Linked DNA regions of Callithrix jacchus. The protein of the gene in region 2 purifies or fractionates together with the protein of the main gene of each other region. This does not show direct contact. Links are inferred from orthologs where the notes say so. Each region holds a gene or a part of one and is shown on either strand. Other genes may lie near its edges. The genes, in order: ANAPC4, ANAPC1, CDC26, LATS2, ANAPC2, ANAPC7 and ANAPC16.

What was found.
Region 1: the proteins of ANAPC1 (region 2) and ANAPC4 purify together in Homo sapiens (co-purification; 13 studies listed by BioGRID and IntAct, with this or other methods). This does not show direct contact. The link is inferred for Callithrix jacchus from reciprocal best matches to the Homo sapiens genes ANAPC1 and ANAPC4.
Region 3: the proteins of ANAPC1 (region 2) and CDC26 purify together in Homo sapiens (co-immunoprecipitation; 6 studies listed by BioGRID and IntAct, with this or other methods). This does not show direct contact. The link is inferred for Callithrix jacchus from reciprocal best matches to the Homo sapiens genes ANAPC1 and CDC26.
Region 4: the proteins of ANAPC1 (region 2) and LATS2 purify together in Homo sapiens (affinity purification with mass spectrometry; 3 studies listed by BioGRID and IntAct, with this or other methods). This does not show direct contact. The link is inferred for Callithrix jacchus from reciprocal best matches to the Homo sapiens genes ANAPC1 and LATS2.
Region 5: the proteins of ANAPC1 (region 2) and ANAPC2 fractionate together in Homo sapiens (co-fractionation; 8 studies listed by BioGRID and IntAct, with this or other methods). This does not show direct contact. The link is inferred for Callithrix jacchus from reciprocal best matches to the Homo sapiens genes ANAPC1 and ANAPC2.
Region 6: the proteins of ANAPC1 (region 2) and ANAPC7 fractionate together in Homo sapiens (co-fractionation; 6 studies listed by BioGRID and IntAct, with this or other methods). This does not show direct contact. The link is inferred for Callithrix jacchus from reciprocal best matches to the Homo sapiens genes ANAPC1 and ANAPC7.
Region 7: the proteins of ANAPC1 (region 2) and ANAPC16 purify together in Homo sapiens (co-immunoprecipitation; 5 studies listed by BioGRID and IntAct, with this or other methods). This does not show direct contact. The link is inferred for Callithrix jacchus from reciprocal best matches to the Homo sapiens genes ANAPC1 and ANAPC16.

The regions. Positions count from the first base shown.
Region 1 is NC_133504.1:168,427,738-168,431,237, forward strand, and holds part of ANAPC4 (anaphase-promoting complex subunit 4), read right to left. Parts: intron 3,042-3,500; coding exon 2,944-3,041; intron 2,368-2,943; coding exon 2,306-2,367; intron 2,226-2,305; coding exon 2,187-2,225; intron 2,093-2,186; coding exon 1,991-2,092; intron 1,199-1,990; coding exon 1,124-1,198; intron 237-1,123; coding exon 63-236; intron 1-62. UniProt on the Homo sapiens protein: Component of the anaphase promoting complex/cyclosome (APC/C), a cell cycle-regulated E3 ubiquitin ligase that controls progression through mitosis and the G1 phase of the cell cycle.
Region 2 is NC_133515.1:22,696,194-22,700,298, forward strand, and holds the start of ANAPC1 (anaphase-promoting complex subunit 1), read left to right. Parts: upstream 1-1,305; 5' UTR 1,306-1,560; intron 1,561-3,936; 5' UTR 3,937-3,960; coding exon 3,961-4,105. UniProt on the Homo sapiens protein: Component of the anaphase promoting complex/cyclosome (APC/C), a cell cycle-regulated E3 ubiquitin ligase that controls progression through mitosis and the G1 phase of the cell cycle.
Region 3 is NC_133502.1:161,586,204-161,590,293, forward strand, and holds the start of CDC26 (anaphase-promoting complex subunit CDC26), read right to left. Parts: upstream 2,801-4,090; 5' UTR 2,772-2,800; exon of another isoform or gene 2,330-2,771; intron 738-2,329; 5' UTR 681-737; coding exon 628-680; intron 1-627. Other genes in the region: PRPF4 (U4/U6 small nuclear ribonucleoprotein Prp4), read left to right, coding at 3,128-3,154, 3,929-4,090. UniProt on the Homo sapiens protein: Component of the anaphase promoting complex/cyclosome (APC/C), a cell cycle-regulated E3 ubiquitin ligase that controls progression through mitosis and the G1 phase of the cell cycle.
Region 4 is NC_133506.1:140,730,844-140,734,798, forward strand, and holds the start of LATS2 (serine/threonine-protein kinase LATS2), read right to left. Parts: upstream 2,801-3,955; 5' UTR 2,560-2,800; intron 1-2,559. UniProt on the Homo sapiens protein: Negative regulator of YAP1 in the Hippo signaling pathway that plays a pivotal role in organ size control and tumor suppression by restricting proliferation and promoting apoptosis.
Region 5 is NC_133502.1:185,590,107-185,593,606, forward strand, and holds part of ANAPC2 (anaphase-promoting complex subunit 2), read right to left. Parts: intron 3,421-3,500; coding exon 3,279-3,420; intron 3,037-3,278; coding exon 2,961-3,036; intron 2,897-2,960; coding exon 2,693-2,896; intron 23-2,692; exon of another isoform or gene 1-22. UniProt on the Homo sapiens protein: Together with the RING-H2 protein ANAPC11, constitutes the catalytic component of the anaphase promoting complex/cyclosome (APC/C), a cell cycle-regulated E3 ubiquitin ligase that controls progression through mitosis and the G1 phase of the cell cycle.
Region 6 is NC_133510.1:113,296,502-113,300,001, forward strand, and holds part of ANAPC7 (anaphase-promoting complex subunit 7), read right to left. Parts: intron 1,905-3,500; coding exon 1,793-1,904; intron 898-1,792; coding exon 744-897; intron 1-743. UniProt on the Homo sapiens protein: Component of the anaphase promoting complex/cyclosome (APC/C), a cell cycle-regulated E3 ubiquitin ligase that controls progression through mitosis and the G1 phase of the cell cycle.
Region 7 is NC_133513.1:57,949,907-57,954,127, reverse strand, and holds the start of ANAPC16 (anaphase-promoting complex subunit 16), read left to right. Parts: upstream 1-1,421; 5' UTR 1,422-1,521; exon of another isoform or gene 1,522-1,684; intron 1,685-1,708; exon of another isoform or gene 1,709-1,762; intron 1,763-4,221. UniProt on the Homo sapiens protein: Component of the anaphase promoting complex/cyclosome (APC/C), a cell cycle-regulated E3 ubiquitin ligase that controls progression through mitosis and the G1 phase of the cell cycle.

The DNA.
Region 1 (3,500 bases), on a different chromosome or scaffold from region 2:
ATTTATAATGTGCATTAAAAAACATTTAACTGTAATACCAGAAAGACAGTTTTACTAGTTACCTTGTAGAATAAGTCCCAGTGAACTGATATGCTGCAGAATCTTCACTGTTATATACTAAAGACAAAGGCAGCTGGACCAAGAGTCTATCTCTTCCTTCACGTCCGATAGTGTCTTTAAGAACTACCGTTACAGTTTCATCATCATAAAACTGTGCATCTAAACAACTGTAGATGCTGGAATTAAAATAAGTTTTGTTATATCAAAGATGGTCATGACTACTGAGAAAGTACTGTATGTATATTATCCTGGCAGCAAGCAGAAAAAAAAATTAAAACCTAAGTGACATTCTGTACAATAACATTTAAAATACATCATTGGTTTGTATTAAACTCAATTACTTTTTGCAGTGATTATTCACATATATAATTAGATCTTAAAAATGGGTAATCATGACCCTCCAGAATCTGTGAAGCTGTTTCAGTTCTAGAAAACCCTTGCCTATCAATGGTTAGGCCTTAAGCCTGTGGAAATTCTATGAATGACACCTTACATACACATTCAGAAAACAGACTTGACTCGACTGAAAAAAATAAGATATTACCTATGAAAAATAGGCACAGCAACTCCAAAAGTTTGTCATAAAACAAAAACTTCTTTTATGTGAGGGGAAAAAAGTGAGAAAAAGATCAGCCTGTGATTAGTCAGTTTTTTCCCTTGCGAAGCCTTGGGGACGGCTTAGGTACTGTTACCCTTTTGAAACCTGAGAAAATCTCCGATCACTGAGAATGGCATCGCCTCATAATTTTTTGGCCCTAACAAGTATTTCGGCCCCGTAGGCTATCTGCCCACTGGAAGCACGTTACTTTCTTTGCCAACAGGGAGCTCAGAAGTAGTAATTATAGGAAACCATATGACATAAACTCCTGCAGGGCAGTAAGGTTCTATTCCATCGTGAGTCAAATCATTCTCTATGTATAAATACAAAGAATCCTGCCTTCTATTTTGGCAGTGACAAAGCCCTTTTGCCTATATTATCACCGTAACTGAGTCTGATAACATTCCCAAACGTACACACACATATGTGTATGTACATTTCATCCAAACAAGATGCAAGACTTACCTTCTTCTGACTTTTTCCGTTGTGGCATATGTAAAGCTCCCAAATTTAATAGCAATTAGTCCATTACTTACAGATCTTAAAGAAGGAAGGGAGAAAAACAGAGACGCTGTAGAACAACCTTGATAGTCAATAATCTAAATGCTTAGAAGAACATGATTGTCAGGCTCGGTACATTTACCTAATACCAAATCCCAGACCAAAAACACCATTGTTCTTCTCTAGAACACTGAGAACTGGCTTAAGCGCCTAGACAGATAAACCAACTTGGTTTAAAATCATACAGTCACCAAAGTAAATAGATAACTTAGCCAGAGACAATTTGGAATAGAAATAACCAAATTATTTTTGGTTACATCTTGGGCTCAACATTTTCTTCAAATTCAGATTTAAAACCATTTTTAAGATACCAATGGCATTCTAAATATGCTTTATTTTTCAGAACTTTTACTTTGAATTTCAAAGGAAGTAGGCAAGGCCTCTTTTTTAATGAAAAGTATACTTAACCCTAGGCAAAAATCACTTCTAGAAGGCAGCCACTTTTAGAAGTTTATGACTTCTAAAATGTTACTTTAACTTTTTGGAAGTTTTTAACTTCTAAAAAACGAGATATAATATCCTGAGTTTTCTGCTGTCATATTTTTCCTAAATCTAAAGAAAAGTCCTATACACAATGATTATATGCCAATACGAAATTAATCTACAACAAGATTATATGACTTCCTAATTCCATGTTACCATCTTAATTAGATGAAAACTAGCAAATGACAAATCTAAAAGTAACGAAGTAGTTTAAAATCTGAAATGCTGGAAGGCTGTACGCTTCATTCTTAATAAAATCTTATCTCTTTGATTCAGATTAATACTTACTGGGAAATATCAGTATGTCTCCTTAAGATGCACATTTTATAAAGTGAATCTTCTAGAATAGTAAAAAGAAGGTAATGTAGATTTGAAGTTTTATTATTCCACCTAAGAAAAAAAATTGTCATAACGTTTTTTAACTGTTGATGGCTAAAACAAAATTGTATTGTTCACGCAAGATAGGGAAGAAATACACACTTACAGAAAAGGAAATTTGAACAGTCTACGTGCAGTGTCTTCACTAAAATAAAATGGAAAAAGAAATGAGAAAAATTTAAATGGGCTGCCAAATTACACCACCCAACAGGTAAACAGGATTACCTTCTGGTATCTCGATACAATGGAATACAGATTGCTTGATTCATCGATTTCCCAATTACATCCTATATAAAATAAGATTTTTAAAAACAATTAAAGCATTTATATGCACATAGATACTCTACAGAAAGTGACCATCACTCTTCGAATGTAGTAAAAAAAATCATCTATATCACCAAACCTTTATGAGAAACTTTAGTGACAGTTTTGACAGTGAGGAAAAAGAAAATTCTGAGCTGAAAAGGACCTTGGAGCTGAGCATAGGGCAGGTTTAAGACCACCCCCCCTCTGGTCTCATAACAACCCTTCATTCACAGCCTTCAGTAGTAAACATGAGACACATCAGCTCTGTAACTAAGACTGTTTACAGTGAATTTCTTCTCAGAACAAATAAAATACTCAAGATGCCAACACCTTTAGTAATCTTTATACACACACACACACACACACACTCGTGTGTGTAAGAAACTAACAAAAGTATTAGGTTGAACCATATGAAATTGTACTTTTGTTAGTCAAAAACAGCTGAATATCAACATTTTCATAGTTCATTCTAAAAACTAAGATCATTTACATAAGTGAGCCACATACTGTAGTCACTATTGCTCCTACACAAAGACATGCATTTCTTTCAAACTTACTGCTGGCTTTTGCAAACACTGATCAATAATGTTCTCCATCCGCCTTTTCACAAAATGCAATGATTTTCGAGGATAATAAGGAAACAGCAAAGGACTTTCTGGTTTCAAACAAAAACAGAAACAAAAATAAAAGAAGCTATAGCAAACTTATAATTAAAAGAAAATAATCTACTGTTAGAGGCAGTCTGCACAGTTTATCTCAAGGTAGAATTTTCACTGATCACTTCACTGGATTTTCACACAACCTCATTAAAACGACCAGGGCCTTTTCTGCCTTTCATCAAACCCCACTGACAGCTCACTAAAAACCACCTCACTTAGTACAAGCTTAGACTCACCAGAATCCAACTGTATGTTTCTGCTGGCTATAAGAAGAAAGGAACGATTTGGGAACCACCAAATATATGAGGAAATAAAGTTCATTCTTCTCTTCTTTGCCACAGTGAAATGACAGTAACAGTCCAGTACTGTTTTGTAAGAGTCTCAAAAACAGGAGACTGGAAACTAGCTCTATATAAATAAGCTCTTTACGTTTTAAAAGGTTACTTTACCAGGAG
Region 2 (4,105 bases):
GAAATTTTTTTTTTTTTTTTGTTAATCAATGAGAACTTGGTATGTTGCTCAGGTTGGCCTTGAATTTATAGCCTTGCCTCCTCAAACGCCAGTACAACTGGCCAGAGCCACCGCGGCTCCGTGTTTTTTCTTTAAAAAAGTTTAAAGTATCAATTCGGTATATTTGTATTTCTTTATTTTCTTTTTCTTTCTTTTTTTTTGTTTTTCAGAGAGTCTCGCTCTGTTGCCCAGGCTGTAGTGCTGTGGCGCGGTCTCGGCTCTCTACAAGCTCTGCTGCCTGGATTCAAGCGATTCTCCTGCCTCAGCCTCCCGAGTAGTTGGGATTACAGGCACGTGCCACCACGCCAGGCTAACCTTTTGTATTTTTAGTACAGACGGTGTTTCACAATGTTGGCCAGGCTGGTCTAGAATTACTGACTTCGTGATCCTCTTGCCTCAGCTTCCTAAAGCGCTGGGATTACATTTGTGAATCACCATGCCCGGCCTTTATTTCTTAACTTTAACTGTTTCACGAATCTTTGTTTCTATCCTTTCTCCTATAACCCACTCTTTTTTTTTTGACAAAGTCTTGCTCTGTTTCCCAGGCTAGAGTTCAGTGGTGCGATCATAGCTCACTGCAGCCTCGAACTTCCGGCTCAAGTGATTCTCCAGCCTCCCAGGCAGCTGGGACTACAGGTGCATGCCACCATGCCAGGCTAATTTAAACATTTTTCTTTTGTGGAGACAGGGTCTCGCTATATTGCCGAGGCTGGTTTCAAACTCTTAGGCTCCAGCGATCCTCCTGCTTCACCTCCCAAAGTGCTGGGATAACAGGCGCGAGTGGCCGCTGGGGTTCTTAACCTGGGTCTTTGAATCGCCTCAAGAAGTGTCTCTGAATCTGGGAATTGCAAACAACGTTTCTATGAGGACCTTCATACGGTTTATCGACTCTTCGAATTGTATGGACTGCATAAGGGCATAGAGCACCGGCACGTAGAGAAAATCAGCAACCCCTGCTCCCCACCCTCTGCCTAGATGTGCCTACCTTCACGTGGGGTCAAGAGGAAGAAGCGAAACCAGGCAGAAAAAAACCTGAGATCAAGGAGGCAGTTTAGGTCCCTAGTGACATGGCCTGAAGAGAAATTGGACGGCAGGAGAATCCTTTCACTCTATGGACTCTGGCAGACACAATCCTGCTTTGGGGATCGGATCAGTCACACGCCAGGTGGAAAGAGCCCACAAGTTCTGCCCGGCCGCAGTCTTCCCGCAACTGCGCAGGCGCCGGGACTGCTAGGCCACCGCGCGCCTACAGCGATGCCCCGCCCTGGAGCGAGGCCGGACGGGAAAGTCAAGATGGACGCGTGCATTTGAACGTCTCGCACGCCTGCCTGCCATTAGGACTCGTACCCGCTGCTGTTGCCCATTTCTCCTCCAGAAAACGGGAAGGAGAGGGGATGAGAAGCTGCCACGGTCGAGGAGTCACTGTGACGGACCCCGCCGCTGCCCTCGGGCCTCCTCGGCCCTTGCACCTCCGGGGAGCAGCCGGGTCTCGCCGCGCCTGACGCGTCCCGAGTTACACAGGTGCGGCCCCGGATCCGCTGTACTTGGGTGGTCTGTCGCATGCCGCGTGACTCTAGCACCTGGCCCGAGGCCGATCCGCCCCTGATGGCCTTAGGGCTGGGAGCCTGGGGGACTTGGAACCTGGGGAGGGCTCTGAGTGTGCCCCTCGGCCGAGGGGGCTCGGCCTGCGGGCTGGGGTGCTCCTTCTACTCACTGCTTGCTAACCTCTTACCTGAGCTGTGCGCTGCATGCAGTGTTCAGCCTCGGCTTCTAAATTGGCCTCCAGTCTCTCTGAGCTGGTTTTCTGAGCCCCGGCTTGTAGCCTGTTTTCACCGTTCCCTAGAATGGCTGGGGGAAGTTCTTCCTTATTGTGGAGACTTAACTCAGGCTCCGGTTGGTGTGCATTTGGGTCCCCCCCACCGTTTTTTTGGCAGGGTAGTGTTTTTCTGTAGGAATCATTGCTGATATTTTTATTTATAGCATATGAATTAATAGTATTTTTATGTGTAGCTGTTTATGTTGCCCCTAACAAGTAAAAATATTCCTAAAAGTTTAGGTTATTGTGAAAGTATTAAATATGTGGCCTTAATCAGTACAAAATGATAATTTTTAAATAAGTCTATAGTTTTCTGTCAAAGTTATAAGAAAATAACATTATAGGCCGGGCTTGGTGGCTCACGCCTGTAATCCAAGCACTTTGGAGGCCAAGGTGGGCGGATCACCTGAGGTTGGGAGTTCAAGACAAGCCTGACCAACATGGTGAAACCCCGTCTTTAAAAAACAACATAACCAAAAACAACAACAAAAAAACAAAATAACATTATAAAATTGCAGAACTAAAGTTTCATAAAATCAAAAGTTCATTGATGTTGGTTATCTTGTTGAATAAAATATAGGAAGACCAGCTGAATTTTGTTTTCTTGTAAGTTTTATAAGGCACTTTTTAGTTGTGTTCCAAGTTCAAGTCTTTTCAATACTGCAACCTCTACGTCCCAAAGCGATTATCGTGCTACAGCCTCCCCAGTAGCTGGGATTACAGGCGCCCACGGCCACACCCAGCTATTTTTTTTCGGTACTTTTACTAGAGATGGGTTTCTCCACGGTAGCCAGGCTCCTCTCGAACTCCTGACCTCAAGTGATCTGCCTGCCTCTGCCTCCCAGAGTGCTGGGATCACAGGTGTGAGCCACCGCGGTCGGCTAAGAGTAACTTTTTTTTTTTTTTGAGACGGAGTTTTGCTCTTGTTACCCAGGCTGGAGTGCAATGGTGCGATCTCGGCTCACCACAACCTCCGCCTCCTGGGTTCAGGCAATTCTCCTGCCTCAGCCTCCTGAGTAGCTGGGACTACAGGCACGCACCACCATGCCCAGCTAATTTTTTGTATTTTTAGTAGAGACGGGGTTTCACCATGTTGACCAGGTTGGTCTCGATCTGTTGACCTCGTGATCCATCCTTCTCGGCCTCCCAAAGTGCTGGGATTACAGGCTTGAGCCACCGCGCCTGGCCAAGAGTAACATTTAATTGACAGCAAAATAACTTTGTCACCTTAGAGGGGCTGCATAGGAACTACGTAGGCCTTGGGTGTTTGTGTGGCCATTTAGGTCTCTTGCCTTATGAGCAGCAAGTCAATATATGGAAACAGCGGGGTTTGCAGCAGATGAAGTGTTTTACTTGCAGAGCCACCAAACTAGGAGACTGAGGAAACTTCAAGTCTGTCTCCCCAGAGAGTTAGGGTCTAGAGGTTTCAAAGAGTTTGGAGGTTAGTGGGCTAAGGTATTGACTGATCGGAGAATGAAGGATGAAGTCCTAGGATGGAGAGACAAACCACATTCTCATGCTGATGTGGTTCCTTGATGGGGTCTTTAGCCTGCATCATTTCGAAAGAAAAGTCTTAGGCTCCTAACATTAAAAATCCTATGTATAGAAATATGGTATATAAGCAGGTACAGGAAAGTGGGTTAAAGGGCAACCAAATTATGCTTATCTGTATTTTGTATAAAGCCTGGCTGCTTCCTAACCTGTGGTGAAGGCTTTAACAGTTCACATTTTTGTAGTAATAAACTGTACTGTAGAGTACAACTTGTCTAAATACTTCATATATAAAGTATGGAAAAATTGGTGTATAGTGGTAGGAAACATGAGCTAGGTGGTGTGGGACACAACTCGTTGTTGCAACTCAGTGGTTTCCTGTAATGGTAACTGTCAGTCTGTGACTAAAATGTGATAACTGCGTTTGCCTGAAAGAATCAGATCTCGAATGCCCTTTGATGTTATGACTACTTACCAACATGATGTAATTATTTGACATTCATGTAAGAATTAATGACTTATGTGTTTGTGGTATTTTTATTCTAGTTTTGAGTTTTGAAGCTGACCAGAATGTGTTTGAATTCATACAGAAATAATGTTGATATTTGGAACCCATGTCGAACTTCTATGAAGAAAGGACAACGATGATTGCAGCCAGGGATTTGCAGGAATTTGTTCCTTTTGGTCGAGACCACTGCAAGCACCACCCTAATGCTTTGAACCTTCAACTTCGCCAGCTGCAGCCAGCCTCTGAATTAT
Region 3 (4,090 bases), on a different chromosome or scaffold from region 2:
ATAGGGTCTGCTCTAAGAAATAGTGTCTGCTCTTTGCCCAGGCTGGCGTGCAGTGGCATTACCTTAGCTCACTGCAGCTTCAACTTACTGCGCTCAAGCAATCTTACTGCGTCAGCCTCCTGAGTAGCTCGAACTCAGGTGTACACCACCACACTTGGCTAATTTTTGTGTTTTTTGTAGAAATGGGATTTCTCTCTGATGCCCAGGCTAGTCTCAAACTCTTGGGCTCAGGTGTTCCTCCCTCCTCATCCTCCCAAAGTGCTGGCATTACAGGCCAAAGCCACTGTGCCCAGTGACTTCTTAAGTCTTTAGGTATGTCATTATTACATTTTTAATACATGACGGAGATCCACAACTCTGAAAAATCCAAAAACTATTCTGTAAGAATTTAAAATAGCAAACTGCCTAAAAGAGAGAAATTCCAGGCAACCATCACTTTAATTTCATGTTCCAGTCACGTTCAAAGAAATATTCTAGCTAAAAGAATAAACTGTCACATCTTAACTTAGTATAGAGGGGAAAGTAGACAAACCGCTGAATTTAATCTACATGAGGACTGTCAGAGATTTGTGATCACTCCTGAATGCTAGAATCAGTTTGCTAAATCTCATGAAAACGCCAACTCACCAATTCACAAAATTATTCTCAGCGTTTAAACAGATCCTAAATGTGTCCGTCATTCATTAAACAAATACTTCTTGTGCTCCAGCTACAAAGTTAAAAGGTACAGTCATAATCTGTGGAGAAAACAAAGAGAAAGCTTTGATATTGCATAATGAGAACTCTGATGAGGGTAAGGCACTGGCATCACACGGGCACCTAATCCAGTCTGGGCTGAGTGTGGGGTGGACAAGGATGTCAGGCAAGCCTTCCTGGAGAAAATGATGTCTTAGCTGACTCACTCCCAAGAGCAGGCAGAGAGAAGAGTGCACAAAGGAGACTCAAGACCAGCTCTGGAAACCTAGCAAGACCCTGTCGCTACAAAAAAGTAAAAAAATTAGCTGGGCTGGTAGTGTGTGCCTGCAGTCTTAGCTACTCAGGAGGCTGAAGTGGAAGGATCCACCTGAGCCCAGGAGTTTGGGGTTGCCACAATGAGCCACGATCTCACCATGAGACCCCCAACTCAAAAACAAACAAAAAAAAAGAAGTAGAAAACAGGCTCAAGAGAGCATTCCACAGCCTGAAATCGCAAAGTAAATGTTAATAAAAACTGTTTTTGTTTTGTTTGTTTTTTGAGAAAACACAACTCCTCCAATTGAGTTTAATATTTGTTGATGACATCACTTGTATATTCTCCACAGCATCCCCTAAAATCCCCTAGAGTGTATCTATAAAAAACAGTCAGTAAGGGCCGGGCACGGTGCCTCACACCTGTAATCCCAGCACTTGGGAGGCCGAGGCGGGCAGATCAGGAGGTCAGGAGTTTGAGACCAGCCTGACCAACATGGTGAAACCCCGTCTCTACTAAAAATACAAAAATTAGCCAGATGTGGTAGCGGGCGCCTGTAATCCCAGCTACTCAGAAGGCTGAGGCAGGAGAATCGCTTGAACCCGGAAGGCGGACGTTGCAGTGAGCCGAGATCGTGCCACTGCACTCCAGCGTGGGTGACAGAGCAAGAGTCCGTCTCAAAAAACAAAAAACAAAAAAAATCTGCTATACATTTTACCTTTTCTGCAAACTGTGAAAAACTCTCCACTAGGAAGAAGTATAGAGTAACAGTTAATAGTGTGGCTGTAGAGGTTAATCCCACTACACCACTGATCTTGAATAATTAGTTTCATCTCTCACTAGACCTTAGTTTCCTCATCTGTATCTGACTCTGCTATTGTTGGTGAATAATATAATGCAGAGTAAAGAGTAAGCTCTTGGAACATAACTTGGCATTTTAAAAATGTGCAATAAATAAAATCTATTATTACTGTAATTTTTCTAGGGGGTTGGATGGGGATCTGGCCAGCTAGGGAAACCTCAATGTTTTGAGAATCATCCACCTCCCACGTGGAGATAAAAGCCTTATCCTGGCCGGGTGTGGTGGCTCGCTCCTGTAATCCCAGCACTTTGGGAGGCCGAGACGGGTGGATCGCGAGGTCAGGAGTTTAAGATCACTCTGGCCAAGATGGTGAAACTCCGTCTCTACTAAAAATACAAAAATTAGCCGGGCGCGGTGGCCGGTGGCGGTAATCCCACCTAATCGGGAGGCTGAGGCAGGAGAATCGCTTGACCCGGGGTCGGGGTGGACCGAAGGTTGCAGTGAGCCGAGATCGCGCCACTGCGCTCCCAGACTGAGCGACAGTAAGACTCCGTCTCAAAAGAAAAAAAAAAACTTACCTTGTTTGTCTCTAATTCCCCAGCATCCAGCAGGGCACAGGGACGTACAGAGCTATCTGACACCTTCCTATCCATCATCTTACTCTCAATCTGATACAACGACCGGCTCTAGACAAATCAACAAAGTCAGGCCGAAGCTCTTCCGCCGGGTCTTTATTTGACTTTGGCACTAGGGAGCTCTTCTAGCAGCCTAAATCCACCGCGGAGCCATCAAGCTCAGAGGGGGCCCCTAAGAAGACTTCCGGATTGTGGAGAAAAACAGCCCTTGTCCCCTAGCTCCAAGCCTGTACCTCGGATCCCTGGCGAGGATTTCCATGGTAACAAGGTCTTCAGCTCCAGGAAGACTTAAACGCTCCGGTAGGCCCGGGTGGCACGGCGGACCCCGGAAGTCCTCGACTCGCTCCAGAGTTCAGCCCCGAGCCGCGCGACGCAACGCACCTACCTCTTTTCAAGCCTGTTCAGCCCCTTCCCGGAACCTCCGCTCCCCCAGTGAAACTATTGGTAAGCCAACTGGACTACACTTCCCAGACTACTTGGAGCCTCTCTCTCAGCAGAATCTCGTCTTGCGCGAGCTTTCTCCGATGTTCTAGGAGGCATGCCCCTCAATACGATCACACCGCTTCCTACTACGACTTCCATCATGCTCCGCGCCGCTCCGGGCGCGGCTACGGCTCTCGGCACACGTCCGGTCGGTGACGCACTTCCGATCGGTGATGCTCATCCGCTCTGCTGGGCGCGCGGTGGACGATCTGAATCGGAGACCTCAGGTTTCGCTGTAGCTTTTCTCCAGAGCCCGGCATGGCTTCCTCGCGAGCTTCCTCCACGGTACAGAGCCCGGGATCTCAGCTCACTCTGGCAGGAAGCGCGAAGGGGGAAGGGGGTCCTTGCGGGAAGGGGCCGTTAGGGAACGGGAGAAGGCGGTGGAGGGCCGAGGAGGAAGGCTGTGGGACTCCGTGTCCTAGACAGCCGAGCACCGTTTTCCTGATCCCTAAGCGCTTTCGTGGACTATAGCTTATTTGCACCTCTCCGACTACATCCCTGAAGGGCAAACATCTCTTCGGACTGATCCAGTAACGGTGCTCTGAAATAGGGAAGTGTCTTGGCCAAGATTGATGCCTTTGGCAGATCTCAGAACTTTAATGAGACCTACTAACTCCTACTGCCTCAGGTCTAGAAACGTTTGAAATATATACGCTAGTAATCTTGTAACTTGTTCTTCTTTAGCACCGCGTTAGTTATTTCATCTATATTTGGTACTTCCCCAGTGATGAGCAGTAACCCTGGAAGCATCGTAAAACACGAGATTGCACACTTCCAACAGAATGAAGTAAACAGATTGCAGAGCAAACCCTTGATAGAAAAATACCCGAGAGAACCTCACTAGTTTTATCAATCCTGTCAACCAAAGTGAGGGACTGAAACACCCTCCCCCTACCCTCATCTCCTCAAATCAATGAAGAACATCTTAAGCAGTGTCCAATTTGTCCTTTCAATTACAGAGGAAGTAGGACTGTGAAACTCAGGGTGAGCTTCATCCTCTGGGGAAGTCCAGCAAATTGTTAAGATTAAGCGTTAGTTTAAGTCAGATTTTTGATTTAGCAGGCAACCAAAACTAAAGCACCTGATGACTTAGTTGCTCCGGTTGTGAAGAAGCCACATATCTATTATGGAAGTTTGGAAGAGAAGGAGAGGGAGCGTCTGGCCAAAGGAGAATCTGGGATTTTGGGGAAAGAAGGACTTAAAGCAGGAATCGAAGCTGGA
Region 4 (3,955 bases), on a different chromosome or scaffold from region 2:
TCTTATTGTAAAAGCATTTCCCTCCCACCAAAGGAAAGCCCCTCCCATCAACCCTGCGATTTGCTAAGGAACATGTACAGCTCCAATTTACACTTAAACTATTTCAAACTCAATGGAGAAGCTAGAAAAATCCCTTCCAGTTATATAATTGTATGATTCTAGTAATTCACCGTAATAATTTTGCAAGACAGGCTAGCCTCTGCTCAGATACCTTAAACTGCCTGAGATTTGGAGAGTTATTAAATGTTCACAAACTCATTTTCAAAGGAACGCTGGTATATTCATTAAACAGTACCTTCTATACCTGCATAATGGGACAAAATTTTGTGAGAGGCTGAATAACATATCTTGATAATTACAGTTAAATAGACATAGTAAAAAATTTATACATTCTCATTTTGGAGTTTTTCTGTTACTATCTTATTACAACAGTTGTCACAGAAGAAAAAAAAAAACCCTAAAAACATACAAAGCAGCTTACTAAAAATATACAGCGAGATTTAGTACAAATTTACTAATAATCAGCCCTGAGTTACTTTTTCCATGATTAAGGGAAGGCCTCTCATCTTCCAAGTTAAAATTTTAAGCAGAACATTTGTGTAAGATCACACACATTTTGTGATTTCCCATTCAAATTCCAGTATATATGTTTCTTATTAAAATATGGGCAAACTTTCCTTTAAAATGTACATATTTATTGAATATTTTGTGAAAAAGAGCTGTTCAGCCATTAATCTTAATTATCTACTGGCCAAATGTATGAATACTCTATGGCTTCACAGTTAAGGTGAAAATTTTTTTAATGCTATTCATTAAAAACACTTATATCTGTGCCAGAGAAGCGTGAAAATGTAAAAGTTCTTGTTCAAATTCTCCTCAGGTGGGGCGTGATGGCTCACACCTGCAATCCCAGCACTCTGGGGGACCGAGGAGGGTGGATCACCTGAGGTCAGGACTTCAAAACCAGCCTAGCCAACGCAGCGAAACCCTGTCTCTACTAGAAACACAAAATTAGCTGGGCTGGTGGCCGGGCCCTGTAGTCCTAGCCCCGCGGGAGGCTGAAGCAGGAGAATCGCTTGAACCTGCGAGGCAGAGGCTGCAGTGAGCGGAGATCACACCACTGCCCTCCACCCTGGGAGAGAGTGAGATCCTGTCTCAAAAACAAACAAAAAAACAACAAAATTTTTGTCAACAAAGCCTGCAAGTTAAGTTCTTTCAAAGTGATCCTGGCAAAACAGCATTTCTCATCAAAAGGCCTCAAAACAGCCTCCTAGCCGAGCTCACCCGGGACCCTGTTACCAGCTGCCTGGAGCCCCGGTCGGGTGGGTTTTACCTTCTTCAGGGTCCATTCCTCGCCTCGCCCCACCCCACCCCCATGCCCGCAGCCCCCGGGACACTGGAGACTTGGACTTCGCAAACGGGTTTGCGCCAGGCCGCACTCCATCCCCGAGGGAAAGCTCCCAGAAGTTCTAGAGTTGGGCTGGAGGAAGTGATGGCAAGAAGTGAATGATGTCAGAATCCCCATCTCCGGAGTCCCGCTAAGGAGCTACAGGCAGGTGAGCTGGCATCAGAAGAGAAAGCCAAGCCCCCCACACGTCGCTAAACGAGGGCACGGGAATGGCGTGTTATGCAACGGCCGCCGCTCGCATGGCCACGAAAGCGCTCCTGCGCCTCGGGCCGCGTCCCGCCAAGACCACTAGCAAACTCGCAGCGTCGGCGCGGCCGCCGGCCGGGAGACGACGAGCAGGGCCTGGCAGCCCACGGCCCGGGAGGATCGGCGCCCCAGTGGTGCGGCGGCCTCTGAGGGGCTGACTGGCCGGCGGGCCCGCGGAGCGGCCGCGGGGGACTGGGTGGGAACCGCGCAGCCTGGGCGAGGCGGCACAGCCACCAGGGGCTAAGGGGCGGCGCGGCCTCGGCCGGGTACGGCCGTGGGGCTGTCGGCTCGCGGGACGACGGGGTGGCCGGCGGGGGCAGCCGGGGCGGGCCCCGAAGGATTGATTGGCCCGTGGGACGATGGTGCGGCCCGGAGAACGACGCCGTCTCCGTGGGACAGTGGCGCGGCCGGACGCTGGGGTCTCGGGGCTGTCAGGGGAGCTCGGCTGGGCGTCTGGTGGAAAGCCGAGCCCCGGGGGACAGCGGAAGCGGAGGCGAACCCCGCGCTACGGCCCCTTCGGATCTGGGGCACCGCCCCCGGCCCGCGCAGCCCCTGCCCCGTCAGGATCCTGGCCGCCCCCGCCGCAGCACAACAAAGCAGCGCAGCCCCGCGGCCCCCACCCGACGCCGGCCTCCAACTTCCCCGGCTCCTCCGGAACCGGCTCCGCGGGCTCTGCACGGCCGAGACGCCGCGCCGCCGGGCGGGGGCGGCTCCGGGCGGGCGCGGACCGTGGGGGCAGGGCGCAGGGCTCAGTCCGGACAAACTTCCTCGGCCGCCCCGCCGGGCGCCCTTCCTGGAGCCTCGGTCCCACGGTGAGTGCGCGGAGCTGCAAGGCTCGACCGCCTCGCGGTAACGCCGGCCACCCTCTCGGCTGCCGCCCCGACCCCTGCCCCCGGCCCCCTCACCTCTTGGGGCGCGGTCTACACCCTCGGGGGTGTCCTGGCCCGCGGCTCCCGGGCCTCGCGCGCCAGGAGACCGGGCACTGGTGGCTGGAGCTGCTGCTGGCCCCGCAGGGACGGGGGAGCCCCGGGCGGCGGCGGTGGCGTGGACGGCGGCTGCTCCATCTTCCCGGGGCGCTCACGCCGCGGTTCCAAAGCGCAGACCCAAGTGGGACATTCGCTACATTGTTGGCATTCCACGGGCGTCACGTGACCCCGCCTCCCGCGTCACTCTCGGCCGCATACCAGCCCGGGCGGGGCGCCTGCGGCCCCTGCTCTTCGGCGGCCGCTCCGCCCCGCCCCGCCCCGCCCGGCCGTGCTTCCTGCCTCGGGCCTCGGCCGCCACCTGCCCGCGGCCTCCCTGCTGCCCTGTGGTAGCTCGCCGGGGGCCTCTCGGACCTATTTGACTCTGTGCTATCCGCCCCCAAACTTGAGTATTTGCCCTCTCGGCTGCACTTGTATTAAAAGTTGGTAACAGTCGTCAAAGGCACTGTTCTTAAGCATCTCATACTAGTCTTGGTGGGGGAAAAAAAAAGTTGGCAAACCTGAAGGAGCCACCAAGTTGCCAACTAGGGGATGGACACTAAGAATAGGGGAAGAAAAAGGCGGCTATTGAGACAGTGGAATCAAGCAATTAAGAAGAACGTCTGCCGGGCACGGTGGCCCACGTCTGTAATCCCAGCACTTTGAGAGGCTGAGGTCTCCTGAGGCAGATCACCTGAGGTCGGGAGTTCGAGACCAGCCTGACCAACATGGAGAAACTCCATCTCTACTAAAAACACAAAATTAGCCGGGCATGGTAGTGCATGCCTGTAATCCCAGCTACTCGGGAGGCCGAGGCAGGAGAATGGCTCCAACCTGGGAGGCAGAGGTTACAGTGAGCCGAGATTGACCAATTGCACTCCAGCCTGGGCAAGAAGAGCGAAACTCCATTTTTAAAAGAAAAAAAATAAAAAAGAACGTCTGATGCACACCCAGATTTGATCTGATTTAATTTAATCGACCTCCCCTCCCTGTGTATATTTTGTTTCCAAGAAGTGCTTTATGGTGTAGGGAATAGTACTGTATACCAGCAAGTGAGGTCGTGGGTTTTTAACAGCTCCACCATCTATCCATTTGAGGACTGTGGATCTGCTACAGGGACAGAAGTGGGGATTATGCAAAGATTCAGAGTAGAAATAATAGACTGGAAGCCAAATCCTTAATCTACTTCTGGCTCTAACATTATACTTCTCACCACCCATGTCTGTGGCAAGTGATGCTGAGGGTCAATATACTTTTAAAGTAAACTCGATTTTCTCTTTAATTGATAAACTCTTGTGAAATTTTTAAATTTTACTCTCATGGTAAACAGTAATAAAGG
Region 5 (3,500 bases), on a different chromosome or scaffold from region 2:
TTAAAGATATAATTAAGATGAAGTCACCCTGGAGTAGAGTGAGTGTCCAAGAGGGGGATACAAACAGAACAGGGGAACACTCCGGGCGACGCAGCAGAGACTGGACCGAGCCATCCACAAGCCCCGGAGCTCCTGCAGCCCCCAGAGAGCTGGTAGAGGCAAGGAAGCAGCCTTCCCCTAGGGCCTCCAGAGGGCCCTGCTCACCCTGACCTCTATAAGATGATACATTTCTGGTCTTTTAAGCCCCTTGGTTTGTGGCACTTTGTTCTGGTGGCACCAGGGCACTGACACGCCTGCTCTGTGGGCCACAGGCTCCTAAGCCCTTCCAGGATCTGGCAACTCTTTTTTTTTTTTTGAGACGGAGTTTCGCTCTTGTTACCCAGGCTGGAGTGCAATGGTGCGATCTTGGCTCACTGCAACCTCCGCCTCCTGGGTTCAGGCAATTCTCCTGCCTCAGCCTCTCAAGTAGCTGGGATTACAGGCACGCGCCACCATGCCCAGCTAATTTTTTGTATTTTTAGTAGAGACGGGGTTTCACCATGTTGACCAGGATTGTCTCGATCTCTTGACCTCGTGATCCACCCGCCTTGGCCTCCCAAAGTGCTGGGATTACAGGCGTGAGCCACCCCGCCAGGCCAATCTGGCAGCTCTTAAAGGAAACGAACCCCACTTTACGGACAGAAGATAGAGGTGGAGTCAGTGGTTGGCCTTGGTCCTGGCTCTGGCTCCAGGGCCGTGACCTCCACGAACACCACTCATCAGCCTGCACCAGAATGGAAGAAGGGCTCAGGAGCAACAAGCTCAGGTGCAGATGCTGAGGGCTGCATGCCAGCCATGTGCCCAGTGAGCTCAGGTGCAGATGCTGAGGGCTACATGCCAGCACATGCCCAGCAAAGTGCCTAAGGTACAGATGCAAAGGGCTGCATGCCAGCCATGTGCCCAGCGAGGCCCCTAGGCCAGGAGCTCTGCTAGTGGGACCTCTCAGCACAGCCCGGCACCTTCCTGAGCCATCCTGTATCCCGTGAAGTGAAGACAAAGGGCACTGGAGTATGGCTGCCCCAGGACGTCAGGCCCGAGGAATGGGAAGTGGCTGAGCCACACTTGGGATCCCAGGGGGACCCTGGAGGGAGGCCAGGGGAGCCTCGCCCAGAAACAGCACTGGAGAGCCTGAGGCAGCCAGAGGGTCAGTGGGAGAGGGACTGTGCATGGAGCCCGGCCACACCAATGACTTGTACCAGAACATGGCAGGGCGGGGGGCAGGGGGCGGGGGAGGCTCGGTGCCCGCAGACTCTGGAGACACAGGCTGGAGCTGGAGGTGGGGGGATGGCCAGGGCCCTCCTTTCCACCGGGGCAGGCAAGCTGCGGGGGATACCTGGACTCTTCCAGAGCCAAGCTGAGGCCTGGAGGGAGGCAGCAGGCACTCGCCACCAAGATCAGCAGCCTGGCCCAACCTCCGCCTCCTGCCCCGGGTGCCTCTACCTGGCCCTCCCCTTGTCTGTCTCTGCAACTTCCCCCTTAGTTTCTAAAGTGGACTCATCACCTTGCCCTCCCCTAGGAATAAGCTTCCTTAGTCTGTCAACACAGCAAGGCCCTCTCACTTGGCAGATAAAAAAAGGAAACACATCTAGACCCAGCGTCTGTCACAGCAGGCCTGGAGAAGCTGGGGACCCTCCTTTGAACTCAGCCCCACCTGCCGGCCTTGGCCCAGGCTGCGGCTGGCCCATCTCCCTCCTGGGGTTGGGGTCTGCAGCCTGGAAACCAGCTTTGCCCCAGGACCCTCTCCTCACGTGTCCCCTGCTGGGGTGCTCAGCTCCCCCCAGGCCTGAGCATTCGCTGGGCACACCGGAGGCCTCACGGGCCCCACACACCAGACTGAAAGCCCTGGGACCTGGCTGCACAGGGGTCCTAACCTCTTCCCTCGACCCAAAACATCTCACCTGAACATGAGCTCAGGGAAAAAACCTCCAAGCGTGGTCCCATACCCAGGGCCCTGGATACCTGTTCTGGGACTGCTGGGATTGGTGGTGCTGCCAGGAGACGTGAGCCAAATACGGCCGATACCACCACTCTGGGCACGCTGGCCCCACTTGCCAGCACCTCCAGGCCAGGGCTCGCTCCTCCAGTCCCCACGTCTGCTTCCCCCCGACTCCCACCACAGTCCCACAGCCCTGGTCCTCAAGCACCATGGGAACCTGCAAATGCAGTTCTCCGGGAAATATCTAGAAACAGGGGCAGGGCTGGGGCCCCAGGGTCAGGTGCGCTTGGGAGCGCTGCCCTGGGCAGAGGGTGGCCCTGGCTCCCTGGCCCTCACCTGCAGTGACACAAGGCACCCCAAGTCCTGGTTCTGAGAGGCAGAGGGCAGATGGCAGAAGAGGAGGAAATGCTCAGTGGGTGCGGCCTGCTGGAGCCACGGGAGTCCCCGTGAAGCAGCACAGGAGATGTGGGCCTAGCACAGCCCACCCGAGCACCTGTGGGGCCGAGGGACGCTGGCTCACAGGGGGCACAGGCTCACTGTGAGGAAGGCAGAGGGAGTGTGGACTGGGCCCACTCCATCTCCTGCAGGGATGGCTGTGAGACATAACCAACCCTAGACACTCGGGAGACAATGGGGTGGCCATAGGCACCAGGCTGCTGAGCCCGCAGCACAGGGTGAGGTGCAGAGAGCCCTGTGGGGTGGCTGGCTTGGAGGTACCTTGAGCTGCTCGTACTTCTTGCAGTAAGCCTCCAGGGCTGCCCTGATGTCCTCAGGGACCTCCAGCTTCTCATCCTTGAAGGGCGGCCAGAACTCACTGGACAGGATGACAGCATAGACCCCGAATGGCGGCTGCTCCTCCACCGGCCGCTTCTCGTCCTCCTCCCGGATGTTGGCATTGATGCGGCGGGAGTCCGCCATATCCTGAGGGAGGAGCTGGTGTCACGGGGGCCTGGGGGTGGCGGGCGGTGGGCGAGGCGGGACCCACCTTCAGCATGACCTCGCAGAAGTGCATCGGGGCCTCGCCAAAGCGCAGCTTCAGCAGTTCTACGTTGCGGATCTCCCTGGAGAGACGAACCAGTGTCTGGGCGGGGGTCGCAGGGGCTGCAGTCCCAAGCAGCACCTGTAGCAGTCATGGGTGCACCTCCCGGGCAGAGCAGGGGGCCTGCGTGGCACCCCGGCGGCCAGCTCAGCCCCAGCCAGGAGTGGGGGTGGCACACAGTCCAACCAGGCCCAGGCCCTGTCCTGACAGGCTCAGCAAGGGCCCCAGCACCCCTGGAGACGGCTGGCGCCTCCCTGGCCTCACCGCTCCGGGCTGAAGCTGAGCTGGTGCAGTAGGCGGTCGGCCAGCAGCGAGCGGTACTCATTGATGAACAGGTCCTTGCTGCCGTAGATGCTGACCAGCAGGCTGATAATGTCTGAGGAGCGCCGCTTGGAGCTGGACTTCCCTGGCACAGCGGGGGCAGGGGTGTCACCTGATAGGCACCTTGGCAAGGATAGGGCACCCCCCTCCCATCCCACCATGCCC
Region 6 (3,500 bases), on a different chromosome or scaffold from region 2:
AACTTTAGCTGAACAGAAAGAAAATCCCCAGTCCTAAGAAGGCAAGTCAAGTTAGATGCTGCAATAAACTATGCTTCTGGGGAGTGCAAAATGATTTTCTTCCAGGTTAAAGAATGACACACTAAAGCCAGGCGTGGTAGTTCATGCCTATAATCCCAGCACTTTGGGAGGCCCAGGTGGAAGGATCACTTGAGCCCAGGAATTCAAGACCAGCTTAGGCAACATGGTGAAACCCCATCTCTATAAAAAAAATACAAAAATTAGCTGGGTGTGGTGGCATGCACCCGTAGTCCCAACTACTCAGGAGGCTGAGCAGGAGGATGGTTTGAGCCCAGAAGATCGACAGGTCAAGGGTACACTGAGCTGTGACTGCACCACTGCACTCCAGCCTGGGTGAGAGAGAGAGAGATCTTGTCTCAAAAAAAAAAAAAAAAAAAAAAAAAAAAAAAAAAAAAAAAAGAATGATACACCAAGGTAGACTGCTTTGCTTTGCTTTGCAAGGGTTACTACCTGTGCATGTGCAGAACTAAACTAAGTCAGATTTACATTTTTACTGGTCCCCAACAGACATGAAAACATGATTACATTTGGGACCATTCAGTATAAAAGACTAACATAGCCCAGAGACTGGCTGCAGCAACAAGAGAGAAGCATCTTATTTTTCTTTTTGCTCCTTCAGATACATCAGACTTCTAGACAAGGACAGGGCCTCAAAAACACTGAATTAACTTTGTGGCTCTCACCAGATGGTATTGATTGCTCTTGAGTTGTCACCGGTATGCACAAAAGCGTATGCTTTTATCCACACAGAGAGCCAGTCCAAGTTAGGCACGGTTTGGATCACATTCATTGTCATGGATGCCACCTCTGCCCCTTTTACAGAAAGGGACAGCAAGCCTAAACCAACAGAAAGCAGGAGAAAGAAGGTAAGGCACAACATCTCTCTTCCACATGCAAGGAGCAATGGGCTACATTTTCCCTCGGCTAAAAGACAACTGCTTTCCTATTCTAAGTGAGATATATGACAGAAAAAATATCATTTAGTGTTTCTTTTCTTTTTGAGACAGAATCTCGCATTCCAGTCCCCCCCCAGGCTGGAATGCAGTGGCATGATCTCAGCTCACTGCAGCCTCCGCCTCCAGGGTTCCAGTAATGCTCATGCCTCAGTCTCCCAAGTAGCTGGACTACAGGCGAACCCCACTATGCCCAGCTAATTTTTTTATTTTAGTAGAGAGAGGGTCTCAAACTCCTGAGCTCAGGCAATCACATACCTCAGCCTCCCAAAGTGCTAGGACTGCAGGCGTGAGCCACCGAGCCCAGCCAAAAACCATTATTAAGTATTTCTTGATTGAATATGTGACAATAGAAACCCTATTAAATCACTCTCTGGAGGGGAACTTTAAAAAATAAAGTTAGGCCGGGCGCGGTGGCTCACGTCTGTAATCCCAGCACTTTGGGAGGCCGAGGCGGGTGGATCACGAGGTCAAGAGATCAAGACCATCCTGGTCAACAAGGTGAAACCTCGTCTCTACTAAAAATACAAAAATTAGCTGGGCATGGTGGTGTGCGCCTGTAGTCCTAGCTACTCGGGAGGCTGAGGCAGGAGAATTGCTTGAACCCAGGAGGCAGTGGTTGTGGTGAGTCGAGATCGCGCCATTGCACTCCACCCTGGGTAACAAGAGCGAAACTCTGTCTCAAAAAAAAGAAAAGTTATTCTAATGTACGGCCAACTTTGAGAACTACTATCACTGACAGTAAACATGCCATGAAAACAGGCAGAAAATATCTCTACCTAGAATGGCATCAAGGGCTAACGGGCACTGCCTCAGCACCTCCTTATAGCTGGTGACTGAAGGGCGCTCCTGACCAGCCTTCTTGTACAGGTTTGCCAGCATCATGTTTATCTGTATAAACACAAACAACAGACAGTAAAATAAGTGTATACTGCAAAGAAAATCTCTCACAATGAAGAAGTCCTAATTTTCATTACCAGCTACTTACTTTTTACTGGAAAATCTACCCATAACCCTGTGCAAATAAAGGGAGACTGACCCCATTTTTCAAAAGCAAGAAGAAATCACTACCCTTGCTTTCCCTAGTACTTCCCATCCCTAAGAGGAAAGTAAAATTACCTTCCCACAAGGCCCAGTAATATCGGGACAAAAGACGCTGCCTCTGGAAACAGGAGTAACATTCTTTAAGAAATGGTAGAGAATGCTAGTTAACTCGATTCTTTCTTGATCTTAAAACAGAAGATGAACTACCTCACATAAGAAAGTGAGAAACTCTTGACATAGCTAGTTAAGAAGGATCAGATGAGTTTTCCCCTAAAAGGAAATGATACAGAAGGACAGATAAAGCAGTGTAATACTGGGCTTTTCTCTGAGAATTCGACTTGGGGCTGGACTCTAGCCTTTCAAACACTTAAGGCTTTGGCCCCTAGGTACTAATTCACTAAAATAATGCTATGAAAATCGGCTATACTATTTAAATCCAGTGACTGCAGGCAGCTGCATTTTAGCATAATTTAAACATGCAACTTGCTAAAGCTAAATAAAAATAATCCTACCTAACATGTAACTGAGAAAAATCTGAAAAAAATCTAAAAGTTCCAAAGAATGCAGAAGTTATAGGAAAGTGATAAAAAAAACCTTCCTAATAGTACAGAGATAAACACAATATTCCACTTTAAAATTATATATATATATTTTGAGACAGAATTTTGCTCTTTTCACCTAGGCTGGAGTGCAATAGCACAATCTCAGCTCACTGTAACCTCTGCCTCCTGGGTTCAAACGATTTTCCTCCCTCAGTATCCTGAGTAGCTGGGATTACAGGTGTACGCTACTAAGCCCAGCTAATTTTTTTTGGATTTTTAGTAGAGACAGGGATTCACCATATTGGGGCTAGGCTGGTCTTGAACTCCTGACCTCAGGTGATCCACCCACCTAGGCCTCCCAAAGTGCTGTGATTATAGGTATGAGCCACTGCACCTGGCAAAATTAGTAGGTTCTAAACACAATACTATTTGCTAGATTATTAACTAAGAAAGCAGTCAATGTGAGGGCACAAAAGAAAAAAAAGAACCCCAATCTCTTCAATTATCTGTGGTTTGGTATGCCAAATATTTACAGGAAAGAGTGACGCTGAAGATAAAGAATATCTGTTCCAATTGTAGAGCTACATTATATAAAACAATCTAATATACCATAATTCAAACAATGGAATAATGAAATACTAAAAATAAAACTATTTTTTACTTGGCCTCAGGTTTTCCATATTAGGCTAATTTGAAAATGCAAAGAAAAGTTCTTAAAGGAGAACTCCAGGATTGCTGTCAATACTTGTAAAGAATAAAAAGTTAAATTTAGGATCCTTTCTTGACTGCTGGAGGTACATGTATATTTGAGACGGCCCAGGCTGCAGTGCAGTGGCATAATCTCAGCTCACTGCAACCTCTGCCTCCCGGGTTCAAGTGATTGTCCTGCCTCAGCCTCCTG
Region 7 (4,221 bases), on a different chromosome or scaffold from region 2:
ACAAAGTGCTGGGATTACAGGCGTGAGCCACCACATTGGGCACACTCGTATCTATCTAGCAAGACAGTTAAGACAATGAGGGATATTTAATAAATTTAACCACCCAGAAAAAAAAAAATACCCCTAAGTACTTTCAGAGATGCTAGACATTCATACCAATCAGCTGGTTACCTGTCAAAGCACAGTTAAAATAACAACTTAACCAATATGGTTCTCAGACCAACATATTGCTGATGGAAGGAATCCAATTTCTACAGGCCACTGCCCAACAAAATGCACATCACTCACTGAGAAACCAAGCTTCTGGTCACACCACTTAATTAATCAATAATTTAGGAAACAAAGGTTCTCACAGGCTAGCTGAGGTTAACTTGCACCAATATTCCTACCATGTACAGCTTGAAGCCCAAATAGTCTTGAAGCCCAAAATACTGAAGAGTTCCAAAGAAAACAAGTCGATCCTTAATAAAAACACTAATGTTCAGTCCAATCCTCAGCAAATAAGTCACTTTAATGGATGGTTTGGGTTGGGCGCGGTGGCTCACATCTGCAATCCCAGCACTTTGGGAGGCCGAGGAGGGCAGATCACCTGAGGTCAAGAGTTCGAGACCAGTCTTGCCAACATGGTGAAACCCCGTTGCTACTAAAAATACAAAAAGTAGCCGGGCGTGGTGGCGGGCGCCTATAACCCCAACTACTCGGAAGCCTGAGAGGTGGAAGTTGCAGTGAGCTGAGATCGCGCCACTCCACTCCAGCCTAGGCGACAGAGCAAGACTCCCTCTCCAAAAAAATAAAATAAAATGTTTAAAAATAGTAATAATTGATGGTTTGTGTGCTTACAGAACCAAGAAGAGGTTTCGTGAAAAATAACAAAGAAGGTAAACCGACAGGGATGAAGGAAAAGGGCACATAATTAGCAACAGTCGATGACATCATACCCCAATGGCCTATTCCCCGAGGCCTCTAAAATTCTCAACAAAAAAAAAACCTTCAAGGGGAAAGCTGAAAAAAAAAAGTTTCCCACAAAAACAGACTAAGGTGAAGGTCGGGACCTCAGGCCACAAGTTCCCGAAGAACCGGGGTCCGGGAGACAGCAAAAGTAGCATCTACCTGCCCTGCATGGCCCTGCGCTACGAGACTGCTCAGAAGGAAAGAGGGGAATAACCAACTTAACCCTGCTTCGAGGTGGTTTGGAGAAGAAGAGGAAAGCTGTGTCTTTCTGCAATACCGTGAGGGAAGCCGAGGCCCCGAATCATCAAAGAGAAGAAGAGTGCTAGAGGACTGCAGGCAAACCAAGACAGGGCGAGAAGGCGAAGGAGCCGGAAGTCCTCTCCTGGAGCGCGTTCCCTACTCCCCTACTCGCGTCTCAGCCCTGGCCACGCCCACCACGCACGGACGCGCGCACGCCGCCGGCTCCCATTGTGAGGGCGCGAGCACGCCGTCGTCCTGGTCGTGGTATGCGCAGCAGCTCCGGCGGACCCTGGGGGTGGGGCTGTAGGGGAAAGTGCTAAAGCCGCTGAGGTAAGAAGCCGAGGGCTCAAGGGCCCTTGGGAGCTTGGTGAAAAGGGAGTTAACCCCTAGGATCCTACCTGCAGGGACTAGGAAAATGGAGAAGGTAGGTGGAGAAACAGGAGACTGCTGTAGAAGACGTGCGAAAGGAAATTTCCCCAGGCCGGGTTGGACTGACTGCGCATGCGGGCCGAGGGGTGGAGACTGCGCAGTGGGACAGCGCCGATGGCGTCGTTTCCTGGAACCCAGCTGGGTGGGTAGCGTGGCTAGGAGTCTGCTTGGGAGCCGCTAGTGTTCTGACGGCTCCCTCTCCAGCCCCTTTCTCTCCACGTCCCACCCCGCAGTTCCAGCTGCGGCTTCTATTTGGTTTGGGTTGTAATCCAGCTATTCTTAAGTGGAAAAATTTGTTGATGGAATTTAATGATTTCTTGTAATTTGTACTAGGGTAGGAACTTTTAAGGAATTACTTTTTAAGAAAATAGGCATATATCTGTTAGAAAGGAAAGGAATTTATGAATGCGAGTACATGAAGTAAATGTTTAAGCATCTTAGCTCGGACACAGCAATCTGTGTCCAGAAAGCATCATTACTCTCCTGTGAGGATCTCCACTGCCAGCCCCAACCTCCCTGACAGGGCCAAGTCCCAGGATACTTAATCATCAGTATTTACTCAACAAAATTTTACTAAGCACCTCCGGTGAGCCCGGCCAACTAGTCGAAGATAGAGTTGTGCGAATACATCTGCACAATGAGAAAAAAAAACTTAATGGACCAGTACTCATGACACCGCACTTCTCTTACCTCCTGCTTGACCTTTGCTGAGCTGCATGCCCTGCGTTCTGTCATTTGTTCATCATTCATTCATCTGAAATGCCCGGGACTGGAAGCACAGTGGAAACACTGTGACCCAGGTTCTGTGCTCGGCATTGAGGGTAGAAAGACTTTTCGAAGGTAGCAGTATGTTTCTTAAGATCGTGAACCTTAAAATGAAAGTGTAAAGTGCCTAGTAGAGGGCATTGGCCTTCCTCCTGAACAGATTCTTTCCCCTCTGGGAGCTTGCTGACTGTTTTAGATAGAGAGAATTAAAACTTTTTCCATGAAGTTTTTTCATAGTAAGCATGAAAAACTGGGATCTGCATAGGAAAAACTCGGGAGTAACTCTCCGTTAATTATTTTGAATAGCTAAGATTTATGAAGTGTTTAATAAGCCTATAACTGTTCCAAGCGTTTTACATGTATTAACTTATCTTGTCACATCTGTGTGAGGTAGCTGCCGCTATTACAGGTTGAGTATCCCTAATCCAGAAATCCAAAATGCTCCAAAATTTAAAACTTCTTGAGTGAGGGGATGGTCAAAGGAAATGCTAATTGGAGCATTTTGAATTTCAGATTTTCGAATTTGGGAGGCTTAATCATTAAGTATAATGCAAATATCCCAAAACCTGAAAGAAATCCAAAATACTTCCAGTTCCAAGCATTTCAACCTGTTTCCCATTTTGCAGATAAGACAACCAAGGAACAAAAATATTAAATATGCTGGAGGTTGCAGTTTTTTGAATTTCTGCCATCAGACCTTGGCGATGATCTTGAGCAGTCGGATATAAATTACTCCCACATGGTTAGCGTTCCAGTAATGGAACACTAGGCATAAATGGGTTAAATTATTTGTCCACAGTCATGCCGCAAGTAAGTAGTGAAACCAGAACTCAGGCAGAGAGGCTTCATAATCTTACCCGCTATGCTGCTTTACCTTGCACATGACAAATGACATGCCAACAAGCCATTGCTTCAAAATGTCACAGCAGATAAGCTAAAATTGTCTCTATACCTCAGTTTTATTTTTTCATGTATAAAATGAGGAAGTTGGATTAGATGACCTTTAAGGAATCTGTGGTTTCTGTGAAACATTTAATTCATTCAGCAAGCATTTACTGAAATGAACAGCTACTTCCCCACTATAGGCCAGGTGTTATGTTTGGTTCTGGTGATTACTTAGTGCCTGCCTTGAGAGCAGTTACAATCTCTAGGGTGTATTAGTTTTGCTTTACTCTCATTTACCACTCGCTGGTAGCATTCAAAATTTAACCTACATCTTTAGAGCTAGAAAATACTTTGATATATCCTTCCACCTCAGCAGAAAACTACTTACAGTTAGCTTTGTGCTAATTCTGTGCTCCAGTTTTTAATCCTGGCTGTTTTGTGTATGGAATGATAGTAGTTCTGAGAGTTGGAAAGAAAACAAGATGAAAGGGAATTCCTTTGATTATATTCAGCTTAGAAGTCACACTGTGGCTAACTTTTGAAGCTGTCCTCACTCTGGCAGTTGCTTGGGTGCTCTGCTGAGCAACTGACTTCAAAATATAAAGTATAAAGCATTTGCAACTGAATAGAGCATTTATCAGGGTGTAGGAAAAATAGAGTTTTAAATCTTAGGTGAGATATATAAAGAGTTCACAGTGGGTTCCACTCTGAACTGATGAGAAATAAAGACTGAGCTACTCTCCAAAAGGTGGCTAAGTTATCTGTATGCTTTATTTGAATCCCACCAGGAATTCACATGAAGATTTGGACCTGATCCATCACTGCTTAAGTTCAAAAACAGTTGAAAAACTTGTCAGGCTATATTTTGACCCACTGCAGTCCAGAAGATTGGATATGAATCTGACTCCAAAAATTGTTGCCTCTGTGGATATGAATACAATTTGGAAAGTT